Macaca fascicularis: one gene and its partner. The protein of the gene in region 2 purifies or fractionates together with the protein of the main gene of each other region. This does not show direct contact. Links are inferred from orthologs where the notes say so. Each region holds a gene or a part of one and is shown on either strand. Other genes may lie near its edges. The genes, in order: DLG1 and LIN7C.

Evidence for each region.
Region 1: the proteins of LIN7C (region 2) and DLG1 purify together in Homo sapiens (affinity purification with mass spectrometry; 4 studies listed by BioGRID and IntAct, counting the BioPlex papers as one, with this or other methods). This does not show direct contact. The link is inferred for Macaca fascicularis from reciprocal best matches to the Homo sapiens genes LIN7C and DLG1.

The regions. Positions count from the first base shown.
Region 1 is NC_088376.1:2,751,804-2,764,114, forward strand, and holds the start of DLG1 (disks large homolog 1), read right to left. Parts: upstream 7,719-12,311; 5' UTR 7,652-7,718; exon of another isoform or gene 7,502-7,651; intron 7,200-7,501; exon of another isoform or gene 6,628-7,199; intron 6,572-6,627; exon of another isoform or gene 6,435-6,571; intron 6,316-6,434; 5' UTR 6,285-6,315; coding exon 6,266-6,284; intron 5,563-6,265; coding exon 5,431-5,562; intron 1-5,430. UniProt on the Homo sapiens protein: Essential multidomain scaffolding protein required for normal development. Recruits channels, receptors and signaling molecules to discrete plasma membrane domains in polarized cells.
Region 2 is NC_088388.1:38,078,729-38,091,039, reverse strand, and holds the start of LIN7C (protein lin-7 homolog C), read right to left. Parts: upstream 5,991-12,311; 5' UTR 5,967-5,990; coding exon 5,930-5,966; intron 1,146-5,929; coding exon 1,027-1,145; intron 793-1,026; coding exon 721-792; intron 1-720. UniProt on the Homo sapiens protein: Plays a role in establishing and maintaining the asymmetric distribution of channels and receptors at the plasma membrane of polarized cells.

The DNA of each region.
Region 1 (12,311 bases), on a different chromosome or scaffold from region 2:
AAGCAGAGTAAAGAGACATGACAATTAACAACAGTATCTGGTCCAAGTCTGAATTCTGTACTGAGGAAAAATATGACCCTACAGAGAGGAAACGGCTTAGAAGAAATATTTAGATGCTTTTACAACTGATTCCAAGGTTCTAAAGAGAATTCAACCAGATTCAACATAATCAAAACACTGCTTCAGAATAATAGTAAGCAAACTATCAGCAAAGAAATAACTCAATCTAATTAAATCAAAATCAAGTGAAAAGTTAATAAAATTCTCCTTCAATCTCATAAAGTTTTAGCCAACGATGTGATCCATATCCTGTTTTCCTTACTCAAATCTAGTCTGCAAAGTTACACACACACACACACACACACACACAGAGTTAGCAAGAGACTAAAATGTAACAGTGGGACCAAAACAAAGCAAAAGAAATCTAAGAAATATTGATTGGAAGACCTCAAACCCTCATTACTAAACACACTTCTTTCAAAACGTGTGAACTCCATCATCAACATCATTTCACCATTATAAATATTTTCCTTCCGAGTGACAATCATTTAAAGACTACTAACCCTAAAGATCACTATCTGTCTTAAACATGCTTGTCATTTAGTATTCTTTATCAGATTAAAACGCTTGGTTCTGAAAAACAATGATAAAGAAGATCCTAATGGTTGACGGTGAGAAGTATCTATGGATTCAGATTAGTTGAGTTCAATTTCTGGCTCCACAATTTACTATCTGAGGGTCCAAGGGCAAGATTGGTCATTTCTCAGTGCTTCAGTTTTCCAATCTATAAAACAGTACAAACACCTCAAACAGGTGAATGTACACCTCATAGGATTACAATGACTAAATGATATACTTCTATTAGCACACAGAAAGTGCTCAATAAAAGTTATTATGTTTTACATACACTTGAAGAGGAGTCACATACTCACACTTATTAGGATAGCTATTATCAAAAAAAGAAAAGAAAAAAAATGAAGTATTGGCAAGGATGTGGAGAAACTGGAAACCTGTGTACTGCTGGTGAGATTGTAAAATGGTACAATCACTATGGAAAACATTATGGCGGGTCCTCAAATAATTAAAAATATAACTGCCATATGATCCCACAATCCTACTTCTGGGCAAATATCCAAAAGAACTGAAAGCAGGGTCTTGAAGAAATAATTGCACACTCATATTCCTAACAGCATTATTCACAACAGCCAGGAGGAGAAGGTAACCCAACTGTCCATCAATGAATGGATGGCTGGATAATATGTGGTATATACACACGACGGAATATCATTCAACCTCAAAAAGGAAGAAAATCCTGTCAACAGCTGTCAATGGATGGCTAGATAAAACGCGGTATATACACACAACGGAATATTATTCAGCCTCAAAAACGAAGAAAATCCTGTCAACAGCTGCAACATGAATGAACCTTGCCAACTCTACACTAAGTGAAATAAGCCAGTCGCAAAAAGACAAATACTTCTATGAGGTCTCTAACATGATCAAATTCACTGAAACAGAAAGTAGCATGGTGGCCACAAGGGGCTAGGAAGTGAGAGGAAAGGGGAGCAGTTGTTTAATCGGTACAGGATTTCAGTTTTGCAAGACGAAAAAGTTCTGAAGACTTGTTTCACAACAACATGAATACATTTCATGCTCCTGAACTGTACATTTCAAGATGGTTAAGATGGTAAAGGGGTCATATTTTGAAACCCAGTATCCACAAATAAAGATAGGGCAAGGTCCTTTTATAAGGGCTAATGAAACTATTAGAGTTTAATAGCAACAAATGAACTGGTAACTAAAAAACTCATAAATGGACAGTATTATTACATAATCCACTTTCATTCTGAAGAATCTGCAGAAACACTGTGTTAATATAAGCTTTTTTATTGCAGACAAAATATGCAAATCACATGACGCAACTTACTCAAGTCTCTAAAGCCAGCCTAATCTTGGACACTGATTTTTCTCGTGCACAAGGAAAGCAGATGAGTTCTCTGATCCCGTAAGAAATAACTGCAGGGGTTTAGACTGGTACGAAGTCTCTAGGGACTACCAGTGTCACCTCAGATCCCAGACACCTTAGAATCATGAATGAAATGAAACCACTATGGACCTGAACACCTGGGCTCTGATTATAATCAAACCATACCCTGTCTACTCACAAAATTTTCAAACTTAAGTACAAAAAATTGGAATACAAAAGCAAATTTTCAAATTGGTCTCACCTAAATCACAGAATGAAATTAAGCAGACTTTATCTTCCTTTGTACAAAAATAATCAGCAGGTATGTTTTGGGAGTACATTTTAAACAAATGTGCAGTTCATGGACTTTTGTTAAGATATAACTTTAAATATTCAGCTCTAAAGAAACAATATATCAGCTGAAACTCAAAAGTTAATAAAAACTTCTGTTTTCAATAATTTTTAAATCTTTAAGCCATCCTTCAAAGATACTACCAAGAATGTATCAACACTAGAACAATGATTTCTATATTTAAATTGCAAGTATCAATTATAAAATGCACTATTTCATGTGTCAGAACACAAAAAACACTGTCAATTAAAAATGACATATACCAGATATTGAAATATTAAAAAATTGGTATTTTAGAACAAATATAATACAGTATGTACATCCTTGTCCCTCTGAATAATCCAAAAGTACAGGAACCTAATCTATATATGAACTACAGGGGAAAACACCAAAACCCCTAGAGACTCACTCAAACTTTTTAAAATGAATGAAAAGTCAATATAAACTACCAGTTCAAAGAATCAATCAATAAATGATCAATGCAGATTGCAAATTCAAAGACACTCGGCATCCCAAACAGATAACTAGGTAACTTACTACGGCCTAATCAAGTGACTTCCAAACCAAGGAAGTCAAAACTCTAAGCACTAACTGACTTTCAAACAGCTCAGGCTGTCAAGACCCCTGTTCTCCTTTAATCCAATGGTCCACAGGTACCAACTCAGAAGACAGAGTGCCACTTACTGAGAGAAAACACCTTTCAGTAAGTGGCACTCTGTCTTCTGAGTAGGATTTTTCTGCAAACATTATGGACACGATGAACTGGTTTAGCTTAGGGCAATTTACAAACTTACAGTACATTTATGACACTTTTAAAACAATGGTAGAGTTGCAAAATACAAAGAAAATCTTACCAGACTAAACATTTTCAGACTAAGTATTAAAAGCTATTCAGGAAACACGAGAGAATGCATTTATAATTCAGTAGTATCAACAATGAATTATAGAATGGAAACACACAGAACCTCTATTAAAATGTATCTATTTCAAACCTCCTAAAATATATTACTTTTCTTACACCAAAATCTGATATAGTACCACATCCTATAAAACATTAAATATAAGTAAATCTTAATGTCAAAGTAAATTCACAACCAATGAAATTGTGCAGAAGATTCACAAATATAAACTTAATAATTAGAAAGCTAATTTTAGGCTAGATGCAGTGGCTCACGCCTATAATCCCAGCACTTTGGGAGGCCGAGGCAGGTGGATCACGAGGTCAGATCGAGACCATCCTGGCTAACACCGTGAAACCCCATCTCTACTAAAAATACAAAAAAAAAAAAAAAAATTAGCCAGACGTGGTGGTGGGCGCCTGTGGTCCCAGCTACTCGGGAGGCTGAGGCAGGAGAATGGCGGGAACCCAGGAGGTGGAGCCTGCAGAGAACAGAGATTGCGCCACTGCACTACTGCCTGGGCAACAGAGCGAGACTCATTTCAAAAAAAAGAAAACAAAAAACTCTATCATAAGAATACACACATTCAAAACAGGCAAGGCAGAATAGGTCAAAAATGTCTTTGAATATAGCAAACCCATCCCCAATCTAGACAGAAATATAAATGTAGATTCTGTTATTTCACTAACGATTTAATTATCTTAAGTTGTTGCCTTCACACAAAGTCTGGAGTCTATCTATCTATCCATATCTATCTATCCATCTCTCTCTCTATATATATATATACACACTGTATATAAACACATGTATGTTTTTCCGCAACAGTAACCGCACCGAATTACTAGGCTCAGTGTTGATTCAGAAAACAAATAACTAAAAAATGCTTTTTGCTGTTTTTCCAGAGGAATACAATTTGATCATCCATTTTGACCCTGAACCTCAGAAATTCAAATGTGTAAAAAATGTCCATCAATGTAGACAAAACTGGCAAAATGTTAATAACTTCGGGAACTAGGTAACAGTTAAAAGGCAGTTCATTACACTGTGCTCTGTATTCTTACGTTTTTAAAAGTCTACTAAAAATGTTAAATTTTTAAAAATTGTTCAGGTGCATAAAGTGGTCTTTACGAAAATCTTTCATTCTAAAACAGTAGAGAGCATCCGTTTACCAATAATGTATTTGACAGGACACACTGACTTGAAGGTAGTCTTCAAATCACACCAACAATTACTCTATCAACAGACAGATGTAAGGCCATATCTGCCTGGAAGTTACTGAAAAAATAAATGTAATACAATTAAGTATATGTCTCCTTACGTTAAAATGCTATATAGTCGATAACTAAAAAAAAAAAACAAAACTTCATTCTTGGAATTGGAAGAGACAAACTTTCTAGTTCAGTAGTTTGCAAGCTTTTTTAGGTACCTGGACAAAAGAGCCAGATAAGTCACCTTGTTTCATACATGGGAGATTACACACAAAATATTAGATGATGCTTTTAAAAATGATTTATCCACTTAAAAAAGGCTTTAAACCCATTTTGCCATTCCAGCTACATTCTACAGCTAATATGGTGGCGTAGAAAAGATTAAATGACTTTTATAATGTCACTGAATTAGTGGCAAAAGAACTCAAGACTCTTATTTGTCCAATTCTCCTTTCAAACAATGCACCACTTCAAATTAAGTTACAATTAAGAATAAAACTTTCCATTTTCTTGCCTGTAAAATACGATTATTAGACAAGATCACCTCTAAGATCATTTTCCAGGTCTAAAATTCTGATTCCATGAATGCCAAGTTTAAACAGAAGTCTATATTAAGGGACTGAATGTTCTTACACACAGCAGAATCCTTCACACACTTTCAATGACTTCAGAGACATACAAGTCAAATACAGAAGCAAGCTAACAGTAACTCAGTCATACCTTTTAGGTCCTGAAACATTTTTGCAACATCTTTTAACAGTTAATGCTATTAAGCTGTGAAGCAATGTTCTCAAAAGCCACTGAAATGATACTGAAAGTTTTTTGGTTACTAGGTATTTTAGGAAAGGATCCTGGCCTATGAAAAACACACACGCACTGAAGATGTTCAAGTTACCGAACGCCTCATAGAGAATTAAGTACATCATTTTCTTAAGTTTAAAATAACTGAATCAAGAGGAGCATAAAGCCTAGCTGGCATAATAGTTACAAAGTTTTAATTCCCACCTATTAAAGCCTGAAAGAGGTTGCTCTGAAATATGTTAATAACCCGTTCTATGGAACTTCTGAGCTGTCTGTCTTCAGTTTGGCTTAGTTTTGAACGATATTCTTCCAAAAGGTGCAATGCTCTCTGGGTATCTGAGAAGAAAAAGCAGAGCCTGATTAAAACTCTCTATTTACAAAAAAAGTATCACACACTAGTGCAAATAATTCTGCATGACACCTAAACAGTTCCCCAAATCCTTCAGGTCAACTGATGTCACTATGTTCATGTACACATATTCCTTAGAATGACCAAAAAATAAAAAAAAATTAAAGACAAGAAAAATTTAAACATATATCACATTAGAAAACGGAGGAGAGTGAGCAGTTTGGAATAAATATGTACTGTTAGTTTGCCAAAGTAAAAGATCAAAGTATTAGCAACAGTTTCAGATTACCTGATATGCAAAAGCAGATAATCTACATTTTGTCATTAAAATCCAAATTTTTAACATTTCAAAATACAAATTCTTAGTATCCCACGGTTGCCCACAGAATAGTGCTTAGTAAGAATGATGAAGTGAAATACTAAAACACCAATGCAGAGTTTTTAAGGACATCTGTGGAGGGGGGGGGTGTTAATTGCCTCTCTTAATCACCAGAGAAATGTTAAGAAAGTTTAACAAACATTTTCCTGTTTCCATCTTCTGAAATGATGTGAGACTTACATCCCCTAACCAATAAAGCTAGGACCGTGCTGTCTCATCAAAGTTACACAAACTATTCTAAAACACCAATCAAAAAACTGACATACGGAAAAGCCAAGTGACATCAACAGAGTTATGGAATAAACTCTCACCTTGCTTCCGGACCGGCATTTTTCTCCAGAATCAGGAAGAGGGCACACACCTTTAAAAACACACAACAGAAAGGAAAAAGGATAGAATCATGTTAAACTAGCATTTCCCCCTATCGAAATAGAAAACCCTCGCAGCCCTATTGGAAAACCCCACGTTCCAAAGTTTTACCAAGTCAAAGAAAGAGTCTCAAAACGCAGCAGTTGTCTGTCAATGTGGAAAGCTTCTCCCTGGAGTGGGTACCCCTCCAAATTAAGAACAGAGAGAAGTCGGTGTTCAAACTCTCCTCGAAAGCGTCCCCCTCCCCAAAGAGCGTAGACCTGAGGCCGCCTCTTCCCCCGGCACAAGTATCCACGCTCCCCACCTGCTACTGGGGACGGGCCGGTGAAGCGCTCCGACCCTTGGCCCCTGAGCCAGCAGCGGCCGCAGAGCGCTGAGAGGGGACCGGCGGGACTGGCCGCCCGCCCTGCCCGGGCCCCCTCCTCCGCTTGCCTTTCTCCTTGCTCGCTGCCTCCGGGCTGCTCCAGCGGGGGCCGGACAGGGCAGCGGCCGCTCTCCGCGACGCCCTCGCGCCCCGCATGCACACCTCCGCGGGCCCCCACACCTGCGGCGCCGCCACAAAGTTCCCGCGAGCGGCGTGCGCTCGGAACTGGGGTGCGCTCCGGCCAGACTCGGAGCAGCTCCCCGGCCCGGCCCCGCTCCACGTACCCCCGCCCCGCCCGGGGCCCGAGGAGCCGAGCGGAGGGGGTGAAGGGACGGGGGAGGAGCTCCCTTGGGCCGCCGCACCCCCGCGGCCTCTTCCTCCTTCTAGGTCGCGCCGCCTCCCCGCTCGCCGCGGCCCACCGGCCCGCTCGCCCTGTTGCCGCCTGCCCGCCCCACCCCCGGAACCTCGCCTCCTTCCGCGCCCCCAACCGCTCTCCCCCTAAACTTTCCGCCAAGATGGCGGCCCCCGAGCTGGCCTGCCGCGCTCCCACGTGACCGCCTTCCCGGCGCTCTCAGCCAATGGGAAGTGAGGAGGCGGCTCGCGCCGAGCCCCGGGCTCCCCGCGCTGCTACCTTCGGGTTGGAAGGGGGAGGCGGGTCGGGAGAGGGCTGGGGAACGGAAGGGGGACACGGGGAGCATCCTGAGGGAACCCCCTCGCTTAAAAGGGCGGCCGCTGAAGTGGCTCTGAGAACAAAGGAGTTAACACGCGGACTCCACAGGTGGCCCGGGGTGGCCCTGGAGGAGCCCGCCTTTACCTTGCCCGAGCCCACCGGCGTGTCCCGCAGTTCCGAGCTAAACGCGCCAGGCCGGGAAGGCTCGGGCTGTCTGAAGAGAGGCGTGACCTCGCCTACACCAGAGCCAAGGCGCACATTCCGAGACACCCCTTAACCTCATTCAACACGTGCCGTTTCCAACTCCGCTGCGGAGAGAGCGCCTGGCGACCCCAGGGGTAGATCCCATCGGGGAAAAGCCGCCTTAAGGAGGAGCCAACTGCACCTCCCAGGGGGCGGGGAGGGCGGGGCCTGGGAGAGGGAGAGGGAGGAGTTCGGGGAGGGGTGCCAACTCTGCATTGCCTTCCACTCCAGGCTGCTTGTTAAGTTCCTATTCGTCCCTTAGTAATAGGCTTGGCGGGAGGGGGTTCATTAAAGAAGGACATGTAAAATAGAGACACTGGGTAATGTGGCAAGAGTTTGAGGGTTATACTACAAGATTTTTAAGCCTAAGTGATAAATTCCAAGTATGGTATACTTCAGGGTGGGGAGAGAAGGTTTGTTCATTCATTCGTTCATTCATTCATTCATTCATTCCCCCAAGCCTGCGTCCCAGCCCGGTCAGCATCGCAGGTGTTACCCAAACGCTGACGGTCCCTTTAAGAACTCACCTGGAGTCGCGCCCTCCGAAGCTGAGCCGCCCTCGGCCAGCGCTGCAGGTTTAAGTTTCGAGCGCACCTGTGAGCGGAACCACGGGCCAGCTGGGACCCCGCTCCCGGGCTGAGCCACCCAGGTTATAGAAGGGGAGTCTCGGGAAGCTCTCCAAGTCACTGCCCAGGTCTTCGAACCTCCTCTGGGTGACAAGGACCTCCCTATTCGGAGTTCCAGAGAGAACTTGCCCAAAGTTACCCCGAGTGAGTGACAGAACTGGAAACCCGGAGATCCTGTCTTTCAAAGCCGGAAGGCTCTTCCCAGTAAGCCTGACGGCCTCTGAGGCCGTATCCATTGGCCACTAAAGGGAAGGCCGAGGAACCTCGTATTGTAACCTTAAAGCTACTCGCAGGTATACTGACCACTGGTTGAATTTTGGATTGCACCTTAGAATCCTAACTTATTGTAAGGACCCACCGACTTTAGAACCTATCTAGGACAAGGAACGGAGGTCCAGAAAAGGGAAGCAACTTGTCCAAGGACGTAGAAGCTAATCCGTAACAGAGCAGCCCAGAACTTAGGTCTCCTAGCTCTAGTCAGGGCTCTTTCTATTGTGATTTTGGACAACTTGACAGAGAGGTATGTTGGTATGTTGGCAGCAGACCTCTGTGCTTTCCCGGATCAAGCATCCTGGGATCTTGAACAACAGTTAAAGCAACATTGCATAGAGAAGATGGGATAGAAGGGTCAAACAGTCCTGAAAGCAGGGGTGTCCTAAAAGCCAGGAACTTAACAGAGGGATGGAAGTTGTTTAATAGTGAAAATGGCTCATGGCATGCATGATACTCTCAAGACTTCGTTGATGGACTGTGAATGGAATGGTTGCAATAAGAAACCGTTCTAAGAATGGAATCACTTCAGAATTCAGGAGAAAGAGGGAGGGAAATTTGCCCTCTCCCTTGATGACATTTATTGTTCATATATGTTCACTTGCTAGGAAACGGGGATAGAAATAAATAAGATCCAAGTCCTGCTCTCAAGGATACACAGCCTCGTAGCAAGTGCACAAAGGCCAATGCATGTCTTCCCAGGGGACACTGAGGAGTCAAAAACAAAATTTGTGTGAGTTCTCAATGTCATCCTAGCCTTCCCCTAAAAGCAAAAAGGAGGAAGAGGAGGAAAGAGGACATGTCCTTTTTCTTGTCATTCTGTGCGACAGCCCTGTTTGGTTGTCAGCAGTGTCGAAAAGCAGCAGTGAACCTAGCACTTGTTCTACCCGCTGACCTAAGGTGCCGGTAGCAAGTGCCTAGCAAATGAACATATATGAGCAATGAATGAAGGTTCTTTACTCTTCATTCCTCTTTTCTACCCATCTTTATTAGTTACTTATTGCTGGATTAAAAAATTCCTCAAACCTTAAGAGTTTAAAACGTATTCGCTTAGTAACTTAAACAGCGATAAATAGTATCTCAGTTTCTGCATGTCAGGAATTCAGGAGCAGCATAGTTGGGTGGTTCTGGCTCAGGGCGTTATGATGTTGCAGTCAAGAAACCTACCAGGGCTGCAGTCATCTGAAAGCTTCAGTGGGACTAAGGGAGGCTCTTTCAACATGGATCATTCACACAGCTAGTAAGCGGATGCTGGCTATTGGGAGGAGGCTTCAGTTTCTCACCATGAAGACCTTTCTATAGGGCTGCTTGAGTGTCTTCATGACATAGTGGCTGACGTCCAACAGACCAAGTGATTCAACAGGGCAAGACAGAATAAGCCACAGTGCCTTTCATCACTTAGTCTCAAAAGTGACACTCTGTCATAGTCTGTTTGGGCTGCTATAACAAAATACCTTAGACTGGGTGATTTATAAACGACAGAAATGTATTACTCACAGTTCTAGAGGCTAAGAAGTCCAAGATCAAAACACCATCAGATGTGATCTAACAGTAATGAGAATAAAAATTTTTAAAAAAAGAAAAAACTGGCCAGGTGTGGTGGCTCATGCCTATAATCCCAGCACTTTGGGAGGTCGAGGTGGGTGGATCATGAGGTCAGGAGTTCAAGACCAGCCTGGCCAAGATCATGAAACCCCGTCTCTTCTAAAAATAAAAAAAATTAGCCAGGCATGGTGGCAGGTGCCTATAATCAGCTATTCAGGAGGATGAGGCAGAGAATTGCTCGAACCCGGGAGGCGGAGGTTGCAGTGAGCCGAGATCATGCCACTGCACTCCAGCCTGGGCAACAGAGCAAGACTCTGTCTAAAAAAAAAAAACAAACAAACACCAAGAGATTCAGTGTCTGGTAAGAGCCTCATTCCTCATGAATGGAGCTTTCTTGCTGCATCTTCCCATGGTGTAAGGGACTAACAAGCTCTATCAGGCATCTTTTATAAAGGCTCTAATCCCATTTAGAAGAGCTCCACTTTCAAGACCTAATCACTTCCCAAAGGCCTCATCTCTTAATATGATCACTTTGAAGGTGAAGATTTAAACATATTAATTTAAGAAGGACAGAAACATTCAGACCATAGCACACTCCATCATTTCCATAATATCCTATCAGTTACTTAGATCAGCCTCAAGGATATGATTACCAGAAAGTAAGACTCACTGGAGGCCATCTTCTTTGAGCTGGCTACCACATCATCACAATGTACAAAGCAATGACATCTGGATTTTTCTTTTCTTTTTTTTTTTTTTTTTTTTTTAGATGGAGTCTCACTCTGTTGCCAGGCTGGAGTGCAGTGGCATCATCTCGACTCACTGCAACCTCTGCCTCCCGGGTTCAAACAGTTCTCCTACCTCAGCCTCCCGAGTAGCTGGAATTGCAGGCGCCCATCACCACGCCTGGCTAATGTTTTGTATTTTAGTAGGAATGGGGTTTCACCATGTTGACCAGGCTGGTCTCAAACTCCTGACCTCGTGATCCACCTGCCTTGGCCTCCCAAAGGCTGGGATTACAGGCGTGAGCCACCACACCCGGCCTCAACGTCTGGATTTTTCTAAGCAACTTTTATTTCCTCAAAGCCTTACTTTGTGCAGTGAGCAGCTGCCATTGAATAGGACACAATATTGGATCTAATTTTCCAACTTCCTCATTAAATATATATATATATATATATATACACACACACACACACTATATCTATCTATCTATCCATCTATCTATCTATTTATCCTCTCTGTTTGTCTATCGATAGATCGATAGATGAATAGAAGAAGTTACTTCAACAAAATACTAGCGGGTAAAGCTGTTCACTTTCCAGCTCCAAGTTAACTTGCCTTTTGAAGAGTTTAAAAGGCTTAGGAGTCAAATGACCACAGGGAAAGGCTCAGATTTCCCATTCTTTTATGAAATGTTAGCCAGTCAATGTCAAAGATACTGTCTCTAAGTTCCAGCCCTTTGCTTCCCAGACATCCTGCCCAAGCCACCTTTGCAGCTTCACATCTCTGTTTTTGTCTTCTCCTCCATCCAGGCCCCAGCCTATAAGTCTATAAAGGTGCCCAGGTCCCGCCAGACTCTACTGCATCTTTTGCTTTCACTCCAGCAGAGTAGCAGCATGCTGCCTGTGCCAAGGCAATCACTAAAAGGAAAGGATTTAATGCTGTCAAAAAAAAAGCTTATGCCAGCTTAGGCTGCAAGAAGAGGAACAGTGTCAAGTATGACGAAAGTGGCCATATTGGTCAGACCTCCATGATAGCCTAGGGGGCATTGCTTAGCAGCACACTTTTAAAGGAATCTAAACAAACCAGCAACTGGAAAGGAGAGAGTAACCACAGCAATAGGAAACAGTTGTAGAATCTAGGGACATTTCATTGGAAAAAGAGAAGTCTCCAGGGAGCTTCAGTCGTCAAACAGGCTTATTCTGTGTACCCAGTGGGCAAGTACAGTCAATGGATGAAAATTCAACCAATGGACAAACACAGGAAGTTCTTTCTTAACATGAGTTATCAGAAACTGTCCAAAATTCCAAAGAGCTGCCTCAAGGTAGTGGAAGGTTTTTTTGTTTTTGTTTGTTCATTTGTTTTTGTTTTGTTTTGTTTTGTTTTTATCAGGAAGATGCTGAATGAAGTCAGCAAGGATTCTGTGTTAGAGGGTGGTAGATATCCAGGACACAAGGTTAAACTAGGTGACCTCTGAGACCACAGTTCTAAGCTGTTGAAACCTCAGTCCCTGCTGAATACTGAAATGGTATTAGCACCCTTTAGTC
Region 2 (12,311 bases):
CACACAACTCAGCAATTAAAACCATGTTTCTCTGGTCTTTTCTACACTGACAAACTACATCCACGTGTTTAAGCATTTGTATTCAACAAAGAATCCACCATTTCCTTCTGAAAGCCGGTAACTATCCATAAACAATTATCTGCTGATGATTAATTTAAGTCACCGACTGCTGGTATTATCCTGTTCAAACCACCTATCATGAATAGTGAGGTCAATACCTAAATTATTTGCGGAAAACAATGGCACAGAAATGCAGATAATGTAAAGAAGAAAGCACAAATCAGCTCGGGGTAGTACCACAGCTCTATCATATGCTATTTGTGTGGTTTGGGGCAAATAACCTCACGCTTCCTCATCAATAAGATGAAGATAGTAATTCATATCTTAAAATTATGATTAGATTTTGTATAATGAATATTATATAGTATCATATATGTAACATATACAACACAATTATATATTGCACGATATTGTATGCAAGTAAGTACATTTCTATTGCATTATCTAAACTGCATAACATAGCTTATGTAAAGCTATTTATCATGGACCATTTATGTAAAGCCAGTAGAAACAAATGTCTTCTTAGTACTTGAGAAATTTGGTGTAGCTTGAAAGATACATGTTAGTCTTCAAAGTAAGTTTATTACGAATTTAATAATTGCATATTTTAAACTTCTAATTTATGAAGAATTCTCACTTTTGGTAAACAAAAAAATTTACCTTTGCAGTAGCGTTTGCTCTCACTTCGGGACTGCTACTGATGTCCACAGTCTCATAGACATGTTCATATACCTGTAAAAGCCAAAGTTATATCTCAGAATATACCATGCTTGAGTTCTCTGTGAAGTTAAAATTTCAGGCAAAGTTATGCATCTTTATGTTTTTTCTATCAGAAATTCCAAAAATGAAAGGGATTGGTTTTAACGTTTTCTGAAGTTTTTCTTAAGAAATTTTGAACGCAAATTTAGAGTATTATCTGACCTAATTAACTCAAATTTTTAGTAAATTTTAAAGATGTTTACTCACCTCTCTCACAGCATTGCAGAACTCACTTTGAAGGACTCTTTGCAAAGCCTGAAGTTTCTGTGGTGGTACTTCTCCACTCCTTTGTAGTTTTTCCAATAATTCAATTGCTCTACAAATATCTAGAGTTAAACACACAGATAATTTTCTCGAAGGGTTTTCTCAATGCCTATGTAACAGTGTAGCACTTAGGATTCATTCTTCAAGGGCTAATAATATACAGACAAGAGTGGGGAAAAAAGCATTGAATTTGCACATGTGTTTGGTGGGGAGGAGACTGTGCGTGTGTACACACATGAAGGGTGAGAATGTAAAATGTAAGAACACTAAATTTTACAGTAGATAGGAAAAACTACTGAGATTACAGAAGCATAAAGTAAGACCTCGGAGAAACACAGGCAAATTGAACACAAAATACCAAATGTCATCAGAAAGGACTGCGACTCAAACGTGACCATTACATGAACATTGTACTGCTTCAGAAAAGCTAGCAATATTGTCAGAAACTAGTCAACAAAAATTTACCAAATTATCATTATTAGTAACCAAAGCACTGAACGGTACAAGGCACTATAAGCTAGTAAAATCACTGATCATTTCTTGAAAGAAACATGATACACAGGTAGATAACCATTAAAGAGCAGATGCAGTGAGTGGCAGGGACACATTTAAAACAACCGTAAAAATGCAAAAACAAGCAGTACAAATGAACTAAACTGATTTTTTTTCACCTTAATTAACATTGTTAATTCAAACAAGCTCAAACACTTATGTTTATGAAAGAGAAAAATAAAAACAATTAGCTTTGTGACCGTGGGCAAGTTACATGACTTCCTTATGTCCCAGTTTCTTTCACTGTAAAATGGAAATAACAGTACCTTCCATATAAGGGTTACGAGGAAGAGTTATGAGTTCAGTTAACGACTGAACCACACAATACATAAAAAAGGGCTCAGCAAGCAAAAATGTTATGTTACACTGGTACCAATTAATCATAAGAAATACTGGCTGGGCATAGTGGCTTATGCTTGTAATCCCAGCACTTTGGGAAGCCGAGGTGGGTGGATCACCTGAGGTCAGGAGTTCAAGACCAGCCTGGCCAACATGGTGAAACCCCATCTCTAATAAAAACAAAAAAACCAAAAAAAACAAAAATTAGCCAAGCATGGTGGCAGGTGCCTGTAATCCCAACTACTTGGGAGACCGAGGCAGGAGAAAGCCCTTGATCCCGGGAGGCAGAGGTTGCAGTGAGCTGAGATTGTGCCACTGCACTCCAGTCTGGGTGAAAAGAGTGAAACTCCATTTCCAAAAAAAAAAATAAATACCAACCAAACCAAAAAAAGCCTAAGAGGTTGTATACATTTTTAGAAATGTATGAAGCATGTTAGGGGATTCCCATTGAGAAGTGCGAGGATAAATGTTATGAATTGAGACATTTTTAGAAGATTCAGGAGGTCAGCTATAATACTGTTATCTCTACTTTTTTTTTTTTCCCAAAAACTGTTTTTGTACAGTTTCTGTACCCCAGGTACTATAGTGCCCAGTATTCCATTACTGCTTTGCTTCCTTTTGACTTAAGTAGAAGATGTTTCTGATTTCATGTTATACTCAAGGACTAGAAATTTTTCTTTATATAGTATGGCCTTCTTCGTGTTTGCAGATAGAAAACTATGAATAAATGCAGTAAAGAAAGATATTTATTTATTTATTTATTTATTTGAGAGGGAGTCTCACTCTGTCACCCAGGCTGGAGTGCAGTCGCGCAATCTCCACTCACTGCAACCTCTGCCTCCCAGGTTCAAGAGAGTCTCTTGCCTCAGCCTACTGAGTAGCTGGGATTACAGGGGTCCACCACCACGCTTGGCTAATTTTTGTATTTTTAGTAGAGACGGGGTTTCACCCTGTTGGTCAGGCTGGTCTCGACCTCCAGACCTCGTGATCCACCCACCTTGGCCTCCCGAAGTGCTGGGATTACAGGCGTGAGCCATCAAGCCCGGCTGAAAGATAATTTATTTATTTATTTATTTGAGACGGAGTCTCCCTCTATTGCTGAGGCTGGAGTGCAGTGGTATGATCTTGGCTCACTGCTACCTCCGCCTCCAGGGTTCAAGTGATTCTTGTGCCTCAGTCTCCCGAGTAGCTGGGACTACAGGTACCCGCCACCACGCCCACTTAATTTTTGTATTTTCAGTAGAGACAGGGTTTCACCATGTTGGCCAGGCTAGTCTCGAACTCCTGACCTCAATTGATCTGCTCGCCTCGGCCTCCCAAACTGCTGGGATTATAGGCATGAGCCACTGCGCCTGGCCAGAAAACAAATTTTTAAATTTGTGGTAAAGAAAGCTTAAACTTAAAAAGTTAATCAAATGCAATGGAAGCAAATAGACCTTCACCATTCTGATTTCCCATCACCAGAATGACTGATAAATGGGGACTGTTGGTTCATCAATTATTTTGATTTATAAAGTTATAATATGTAAGTCATATAAAAATTTCCAATGAAGAAAAAAAAAACGGAAAAAAATAAAATGCTTTTGACTAAATCTAAAATGTAGCTAACATGTGCTCAAATTTGTGTTTCATTAGATCATAGTTTGATGATTTAGAAGGCACTCTAAATCATATGTGATCAGGTGCTGTATTGTAATTGTACTGTAGGATTTTCTGCTGTAAGATTGTTGGGAGTGTTTGTTAATAGAGTATGTTAGAATTGTAAACAAGAATCAGAGGTGATGTAATCTGACTTTCTTACCCTGCTAAATGGCAACGACTAGTACAGCTGTCTCAGTAACTGTGGGGAATTCGTTAGGACCTTCTTCAGATACCACAGATATCAAGATCTGCAGATGTTCAAGTCTCCGATATAAAATGATGTAGTATTTGCATATAACCTTATGCATATCCCCCCTCCATACTTTAAATAATCTCTAGATTACTTACAATATCTGATGCTATGTAAATAGTTGTTATATCACATTGTTTAGGGAATAAGGACAAGAAAAAAATGTACATGTTCTATACAGACACGATTTTTTTCTCTGAGTATTTTCAATCTGCAGTTGGCTGAAACGTGGAACCCATGCATATAGAGGGCTAACTGTAATTCATCCTAAGGGGCTAAGCCTTCTACTGAAGAATGGAAAAGAAGTCTGTTAACAGCAAAAAACAAAGCCATGACTATCAAAACTAAATGCCACAGAAGTTCCACATTTTGTGTTGCATTTAAAAATACAAAGACTGGTCGGGCGCAGTGCCTCACGCCTATAATCCTAGCACTTTGGGAGGCCGAGGCGGGCGAACTGCCTGAGCTCAGGAGTTCGAGACCAGCCTGGGCAACACGGTGAAACCCCGTCTCTACTAAAATACAAAAAATAGCCGGGCGTGGTGGTGTGCGCCTGTAGTCCCAGCTACTCGGGAGACTGAGGCAGGATAATTGCTTGATCACGGAGGCGGAGGTTGCAGTAAGCCGAGATCGCACCACTGCACTCCAGTCTGGGCGACAAAGCAAGACTACGTCTCCAAACAGCAACAACAAAAACACAGAAGACCACCAATATGTTAGAATCTTAACAACTAGCTTTCAAAGAAGAAACCTACTCCTGTTAACACCAAACAGATTTGTTCCCATCCATAAAACAGTGCTACTGTGCTCAAGAGGAAGATGTCACAGACTTAGGCCTAACTCGGCAAGTCTTCCCAGAGTAGCTAGTCCTCTAAAATGATGCTTTAATTGGCTTAAGGGTAAGAATCTCATTTACAGTGAGACTTCCAAATGGTGAACGCAGTAAAGAGCAAATCAGCAACATTAAGTGCACATTTCTTTGTGGGAAGGCATTAGGAAAGAAGTTTTTCTAAGTACAGTAATTCTAAAAATGTGTTTTCTTAGGGAACAATAGTAGTATTTAGACTGTAACTGCAAATGTTAATATGTGCAATATAATTTCAGTCTCCATCCTATAATTTTTTTTTTTCTTTAACCACAAGTACTCAAAATGTTTATTTGTACTTCTCAGCTCCTATCAATGATTTCTAATGCTGGTGCATGAAAAGCATGCTTGAAATTGTTTGAAATAAAGGATTAGGGACAGAGTGGAATGCTGGAAATCTGTAAAAGGACTGGAAACGCTGGAATGCTGGAAATCTGGTAGGCGCATAGCCAGTTATTTTCACAGGCTTCTCTAAAAAAAAATCACTCAGAAGAGGAGGTTTTATTTTCCTTGACAGTCTGCTCTAGGAAGCAATCAGCCAACCAGTTTGCAATTGTAGGGTTTGCAAGAAATGAAAAACACTGCACCTGCAAGCGTTTTAGCATCTACCACTATTCTGCTTACTTACGTAACCTCCTTCCCAAGACCAAGTGAGTAGGATTGTTTTAAAGCAACCTCTCCATTTCTAGGAGGGGCACAAAAGCTAGCAAATACCCCAACCCAAATACAAGCGATGTTGTGGAAAAAGTAATGAAGGAGTATGTGTGTAAACAAGGGGGAAGGGAGGTTCTGTTGAATTGTACCGTGTGTGTTCTCATGTTGTACAGGCATTGAGTGTAGTCTGTGCGAACCGGGTGTGTGACGTTTGCTTTTCGGGTATATGGGTCTCTGAATGCTGCTTCTGCTGTGCCCACCAAGGGAGCGCGTGTGCGGCGTGTGTCTGCGAAGCGGGCAGGTTGTGTTTAGTTGTGCTGTGCTTCGGGACAGTCCGTGTGAACAGAGGAGAGCTTAGAGTAACAGTTGAAATACCGTAAGCGCCCTCACTAAAGCCAGGCACAGAACAACGGTGGCCTCAGGCGCCGGCACAAGGGATAGCCTGGCTCCGGATCTCAGGGCCTGGGTCACTCCTCCTCCCCTCCAGCGACACAGCACTCTCCCAACCCTTCCACCAACCTCGGCCGAGCCTCGGCTGCACTCACCCCTCTCCAGTCGCACGGGTTCCCCTAACGCCGCCATCTTCTCCCTAGCCCACAGACCCACAGGAAATGACGACAGAAGGGCTGAGGTGGAGGGGCGGGGCCTAGAGGAAGCCGGAAAAGTGAGTACCGGCTAGTATCGCGAGATCAGGAGGGTGGCCGAGGGTGTCGCCGGGGCCATCAGGGTAAGGGTACCTGGACTTGCGGCTTTTGAGGTTGGCCTGGCTCCGCTCCTTCCGCGGTGGCGAGGTTCCCCGGCCTCCTAGGGTTGGAAAGAGCTGCTTTCATGACTCTCGTTCCCTGCCTCGGGCTTCCCTTATCCGAATCGCTTCGAACCCTTGGCTCCACGTAGAGGAGTCAAGCCTGGATTCTAGTCCCACCTTGCCCATTAGCAGCTCTGTGATCTGGGACTGTTCTCTTACCCTCTCTCAGTCTCAGTTTCCGCCTCTGTACAACGAGAGGTCCTATCTCTTAGGTCCTTTCAATTTTTAAACTCTGGGATGTGGTGGCAATTAAATATGTAATGACATGTCAGTTCTCAGTTTGTGACAGCATTGCTTTAAATTTAAAAATCCACGGCTTGAATCTTCCCTCCAAATCTGTTTAAGGGTGGAAAGTACAAACAGCATGATAACATATCTGGGTGAGGGAGAGAACAAGGTGCTTTGGTGCACCACAAAGTAACAATTTTATAAGCAGCTGATTCTTATGAAATCTTAAGTAAATTAAATATTGTGAAGCAAATAGTATTCTTAATGCATTACAGATTCTTTGAGCCACTCCTGAAATTTTCGCGAACCAAGAAGAATTTTAGTATTTGGATTTGACTAACATTTATCCAAGCCCTTAGTCTGTACTGATACTGTGGTAGGTGTGTTTACATCCAGTATTTCAACACTTCATGATGCGACTGTTTTAATAACCTGGTTGCCGCTGGTCCACCCTTTCCATTCACCTTTAGTATTTTCTTCTCCAAATCCATCACGGATATCTGCCATCACTATGCTTCTTTTTTCTCCCCTTGAATTCTGATTTCATCATCACAAGATCTGTTCAGAAACTTTCAATAGTTCTCTCCTGTTTCTTATTTCTAAAGCCTTGCATACTCTGACCCTAACTCATCCAGCTAAGTTCATTTCTTATTACCGCTAAGTGCAACCACCACTTCAGTCCGGGTGGGATAGTTTCAACCATATTTATTCCTGGTTTCAAGTCTTTTTGTTTGTTTAGAGACAGAGTTTCTTTCTGTTGTCCAGACTGGAGTGCAGTGGTGCGATCACAGCTCAAGAGAGCCTCCTGTCTCAGCCTTGCCAGTAGTGAGGACTTCAGGCAAGCACCACCATGCCTGGCAAATTTTTAAATTTTTAGTAGAGATGGGGGGTCTTGCTATGTTGCCCAGGCTCAAACTCCTGAGCTCAAGCAGTCTTCCTGCTTTGGCCTCCCAAAGTGCTGGGATTACAGGTGTGGGCCACTGTGCCGGGCCCCAAATCTTCATTTATGTTGTTCTTGTGTGGAATGCCCTTCTTCATCCCCTCCTGTTCTCCAAACTTTGTAGACACTCAGTTGAACCCATTTCATGGGTCCCTGCTGAAGACATGCCACTTCTACCAAGCCTTTCTCCATATTGTTCCACTTTTTTGTCCTCTGATGGCCTAAATACCCTGCAGTAACACTCAGGTGCTTATCTCTTACTCATTGTTGTCTTTTTTTCCTGCTGCAAATGTGTTCAAGAAATGTTTATTAAGCACCTAATATGTACCAGGTGCCTTGATAGGAATACCAGGTAGAGCAAGACAAATGCAAACATTGCTCTTATTTCTTCAAATATTTTTTCTTTGCATTCTCTTGCTCCTCTCCACTGGTGACTATTGGAGTCGTGTGCATGTACATAGTATACATGTATATTGAGCTAACTGGCATTGTCTCACAGCTCAATGATGCTCTTCTTTTTTTCAAGGTTTTCTTTATGTTTCCTTTTGGATAATTGCTAGGTTTTCATGTTCATTAATCTTTTTTCAATATCTAATATTGAAATCCTGTCCAGTTCATTCTTCATATAAAACATTGTAGTTGTTGCTTCTACCAGTTTGATTTGGGTGTGGGTGTGTGTTTTACATCTTTTATATTTTAACATGCTCAATCTTTTCTGTAGCTTCTTAAACACATAGAATACAATTATAATGACAGTTTTAATGTCCTTGTCTACTAATTCTATGATCTACACTATTTCTGGCACAGTTTGTATTGATTGATTTTTCTCTTCATTACCGTTCATAATTTCCTTCTTCTTGCATGCCTGGACACTTTTTTTTTTTTTTTAAACAAAATGGTAGACTTTGTAAAATTCACTTACTTGAAAAACAATTTTGTTCTTTTGGGGTCTGATTTTTTTGTTGTTGTTGTTAGGTGGAACCAATTCAGTCATTTATGTAGGGCTAATTGTATACCACTACTAAGACAGTACCCTTCAAAGTTCCTTACCCCATACCCAATGTGAATTATGTGGTTTTTCTACTTTGGTAGGAACAGGACTGTTCTTATGAACTGGGATTGTGGATTTTTTTGGCTCTTTTCCTTTCCCTGTCTGGTAATTTGTTTCTTCTTCTTTCTTCCTTCTCCTTCTCCTTCTTCTTCTTTCTTCTTCTTCAGATGGAATCTCGCTCTGTCACCCAGGCTGGAATGCAGTGACGCAGTCTCAACTCACTGCAGCCTCTGCCTCCTGGGTTCGAGTGATTCTTGTGCCTCAGCCATCCGAGTAGCTAGGATTACAGGCACCTACTACCACACCCTGCTAATTTTTGTATCTTTAGTAGAGACGGAATTTCACCATGTTTGGCCAGCTGGCCTCAAACTTCTGTCCTCAAGTGATTCGCCCACCTTGGTTTCCCAAAGTGCTGGGATTACAGGCGTGAGCCACTGCACCCGGGTGGATGATTAACACATGTAATCATCATAGAATTTCAGAATCCCAGGAATAGGTAGAAGATCCTAGAAGTTTCCAGAGAGGATAAAAGTTATATTCTAAGGACTGGAAATCAGAACAAGATTGTACTTCTCCTCAGCAGTACTGGAAGCTGAGGCACAGAGAGCAATTAAATTTTTAGAAAAAAATATTTGCAAACTAGATTTCTATACCCAACTGTATTAGGTTTCTAGGGCTGCCATAACAAGATAAAGCAAACTGGGTGACTTAAAACAATAGATATTCACTGTCTCACACTTCTGGAGGCTAGAAGTCAGAAGTCAAGATGTCATGTGCTCTCTGAAAGTGTAGAGGATTCCTTCCTTGTCTCTTCCTCACTTTCTGGTAGTTTGCTGGCAGGCTTTTGTGTTCCTTGGCCTGCAACTGCATTGCTTCAGTCTCTGTTGTCATTATCGTATGTAAATCCGTATAAATAGGTGTATCTGTCGTCAGCTGGAAATCTTATAAGAACTTCCTATTTCAGTATGACCATACCCTAAATTAGTTGCATCATCAGTGACCTCATTTCCATATATAGTAACATTTGAGGTTCTGGGAGTTAGAACTTTAATTTTTTTTTGAGGGGAAGAGATACAGTTCACCCCATAACACCAACCAGAGTATCAATCAGGCGTGAAGGAATAATGAAAAATATTTTACACATGTAAGTTCTAAAAAATGTTAACCTTCCATACATACTTTCTCAAGAGCTATTAGAAAATATGCTCCATCAATAGTAGGAAGTGAGCCAAGCCAAGTACAGTAGCTCACACCTGTAGTTCAAACTACTCAGGAGGCTGAGGTGGGAGAATCACTTGAGCCCAGGAGTTTGAGGCTGCAGTGAGCTATGATTGTGCCACTGCACTCCAGCCTGGGTGACAGAGTGAAACTCCATCTTTAAGAAAAAAAGTTAACTGGCCAGGGGCGGTGGCTTATGCCTGTAATCCCAGCACTTTGGGTGGCTGAGACAGGTGGATCACTTGAGGTCAGGAGTTTGAAACCAGCCTGGCCAACACTGTGAAACCCCATCTCTACTAAAAATACAAAAAGTAGCCAGGGGTGGTAATCCCAGCCCTTCAGGAGGCTGAGGCAGGAGAATCACTTGAATCCAGGAGGTGCAGTGAGCTGAGATTGCACCACTGCACTCCAGCCTGGGCAACAAAGCAAGAATCTGTCTCAAAAAAAAAAAAAAAAAAAAAAGTTGGCCAATAAAGGTGTATGTAGTACAATAAAAAGAGGATCCAATATAGAAATATAGAGGATATCAAGGTGATTTCAGAATGATTACTGTATCAGGGTGCCTCACAGAAACAGAACCAATAGAATATATTTAGGTATATAGAAACGATTTATTATGAGGGATTGGCTCAGGAGGCTACAGAAGCCAAGAAATCCCATAATTTGCTGTCTTCAAGTGGGAGACCCAGAAAAGATGCTTTAGTTCCAGTCCAAGCATGAAGAACCAAGGCCTGAGAACCAGAGGGGCCTCTGGTGTAAGTACTAAAGTCTGAGTCTGAAGGCCTGAGAACTGAGAACACTGGAGTCACAAGGGCAGAAGAAGGATATCTGAGCTCAAACAGAAAGGGCAAATATGCCCTTCCTCTGTCTTTTTGCTCTATTCAGGCCCTCAGTGGATTGGATGTTGTCTATTCACATTAATGAGAGTGATCTTTACTCAGTTTACTGATTAAAATGCTAATCTGCTCTAGAAACTTCGTGACACACTCAGAAATAATGTTTTACCAGCTATCTGAGCATCACTTAGCCCAGTCAAGTTGACACGTAAAATTAATCCACCACAACTGTGAAGGGAAGCCTAGGGTAGCAGACATGCAGCTGGCAAAGAGAGCAATCCATTCACAGGGCAGGGCAGAAGTGGAGGTGAGGTGTTGCCAAGAAAAAAAAGAAATGTGCAGTTCACCAATGTGGGTGAGCATATTGATAACACATTTCTGCATTTTAGTGGAGAGTTTGGGAATAAAGTGGTGATAGACACATAGAAAACTAAGCAAATGGGAGGAAATAAAGCAATTATTAACTCCAAAAAAACCTAAAAAGCCATGTAATAAAGGAAATATATAGAAGGTGGATCAGCTGCATACAACATATTCAGCAACTTTTACTTTTTTTAAGTATAAACCCTGTAATGCTGTTTGCATTTTTAAAAAGACATTTTAATAAAAATGAAAATTAATAAATAGCAATCACAATACTAAAGATAATATTTGATGTATTTTATTTTGAAATCTTTAATTTGTATTGGCCTCATGTTTTCAGTTTGAAATCTTTGCTCTTGGGAAGGGGAATAAGAAAACTTCATTATAAGCACAATTTGAATGCTTGAAAAGCACAGACTTATTAGGTTTAAAGCAGTGTTTAATGATTAGACAATTTTCATTTAATAGATTTGTAAATCTGCTTTATTTGGTATTTGAATCTCATTGTGCTGTAGTCTGTGGATTTGCTACCCATGATCAGATACTCACCCCTGGTTCAATCAACTCTATCTGGTACAGTGGAAGTAGTGGTTCACCCAAGTCTCTGATAAGTCTGGAGACAGAACATTTTCCCTTAGAAAGGGCTAGAGTACAGCAGGCAATGCATTTGGCCTATCTAATATAGTACATTACATATACATTTGGGAAAAATGTTGCAAATTCCATAAGCGTAGCAGCCTGACATTATGGGAAAAGCACAGGACTAAATGTCAGGAGAGCTGGTTACTTATCATAGATAAGCCACCTTGTGATAGTGTGATCTGGACAATATCACATTCTCATTCTAGACCTGTTTCCTTATTTGGCACGACAACTGAATAAGATCTGTCTGAGCCAGCCGCAGTGACATCCACCTGTATGCAGTCCCAGTTCTTGGGAGGCTGAGGCAGGAGGATGGAGGCCAGGAGTTTGAGGCTGTATGATTGTGCCTGTAAGTAGCCACTGTACTCCAGCCTGAGCATCACAGCAACACCCTAACTCTTTAAAAAAAATCGGTCAGCATGTAAAAATTACTTGACTCTGTATCAATAAAGTAATTAATATAAATATGTATTTATTTAAATACAGATTCCCTTGAACTTCATGGACTTAACAAATCAGAATCCTTAGGAGAAGGCTCTGGGAATCTGTATTTTAAAAAATCTCTAGTGATTCTGACACAGCTAGCCTGACACAGGGACCTGTGTTCAGGATTTAAAAGATTATTTCTAGGGCCTTTTTCTACTAAAATTCGGTTTCTTTATAAAACTGCAGAGACAAATTATTGAGAAAATGATTTTCATTATAAAAGAATATATAGCTCTTGCATAAAGGGCAGCATTTCTAGCTGATTTTAAATTTTATATCAATTATTTTAGGCATGGGTAAGGAAGAAAAAAGTTTTGGAAACTACTTCTGAGAGGGAAAAATATGCCTCACATTAACC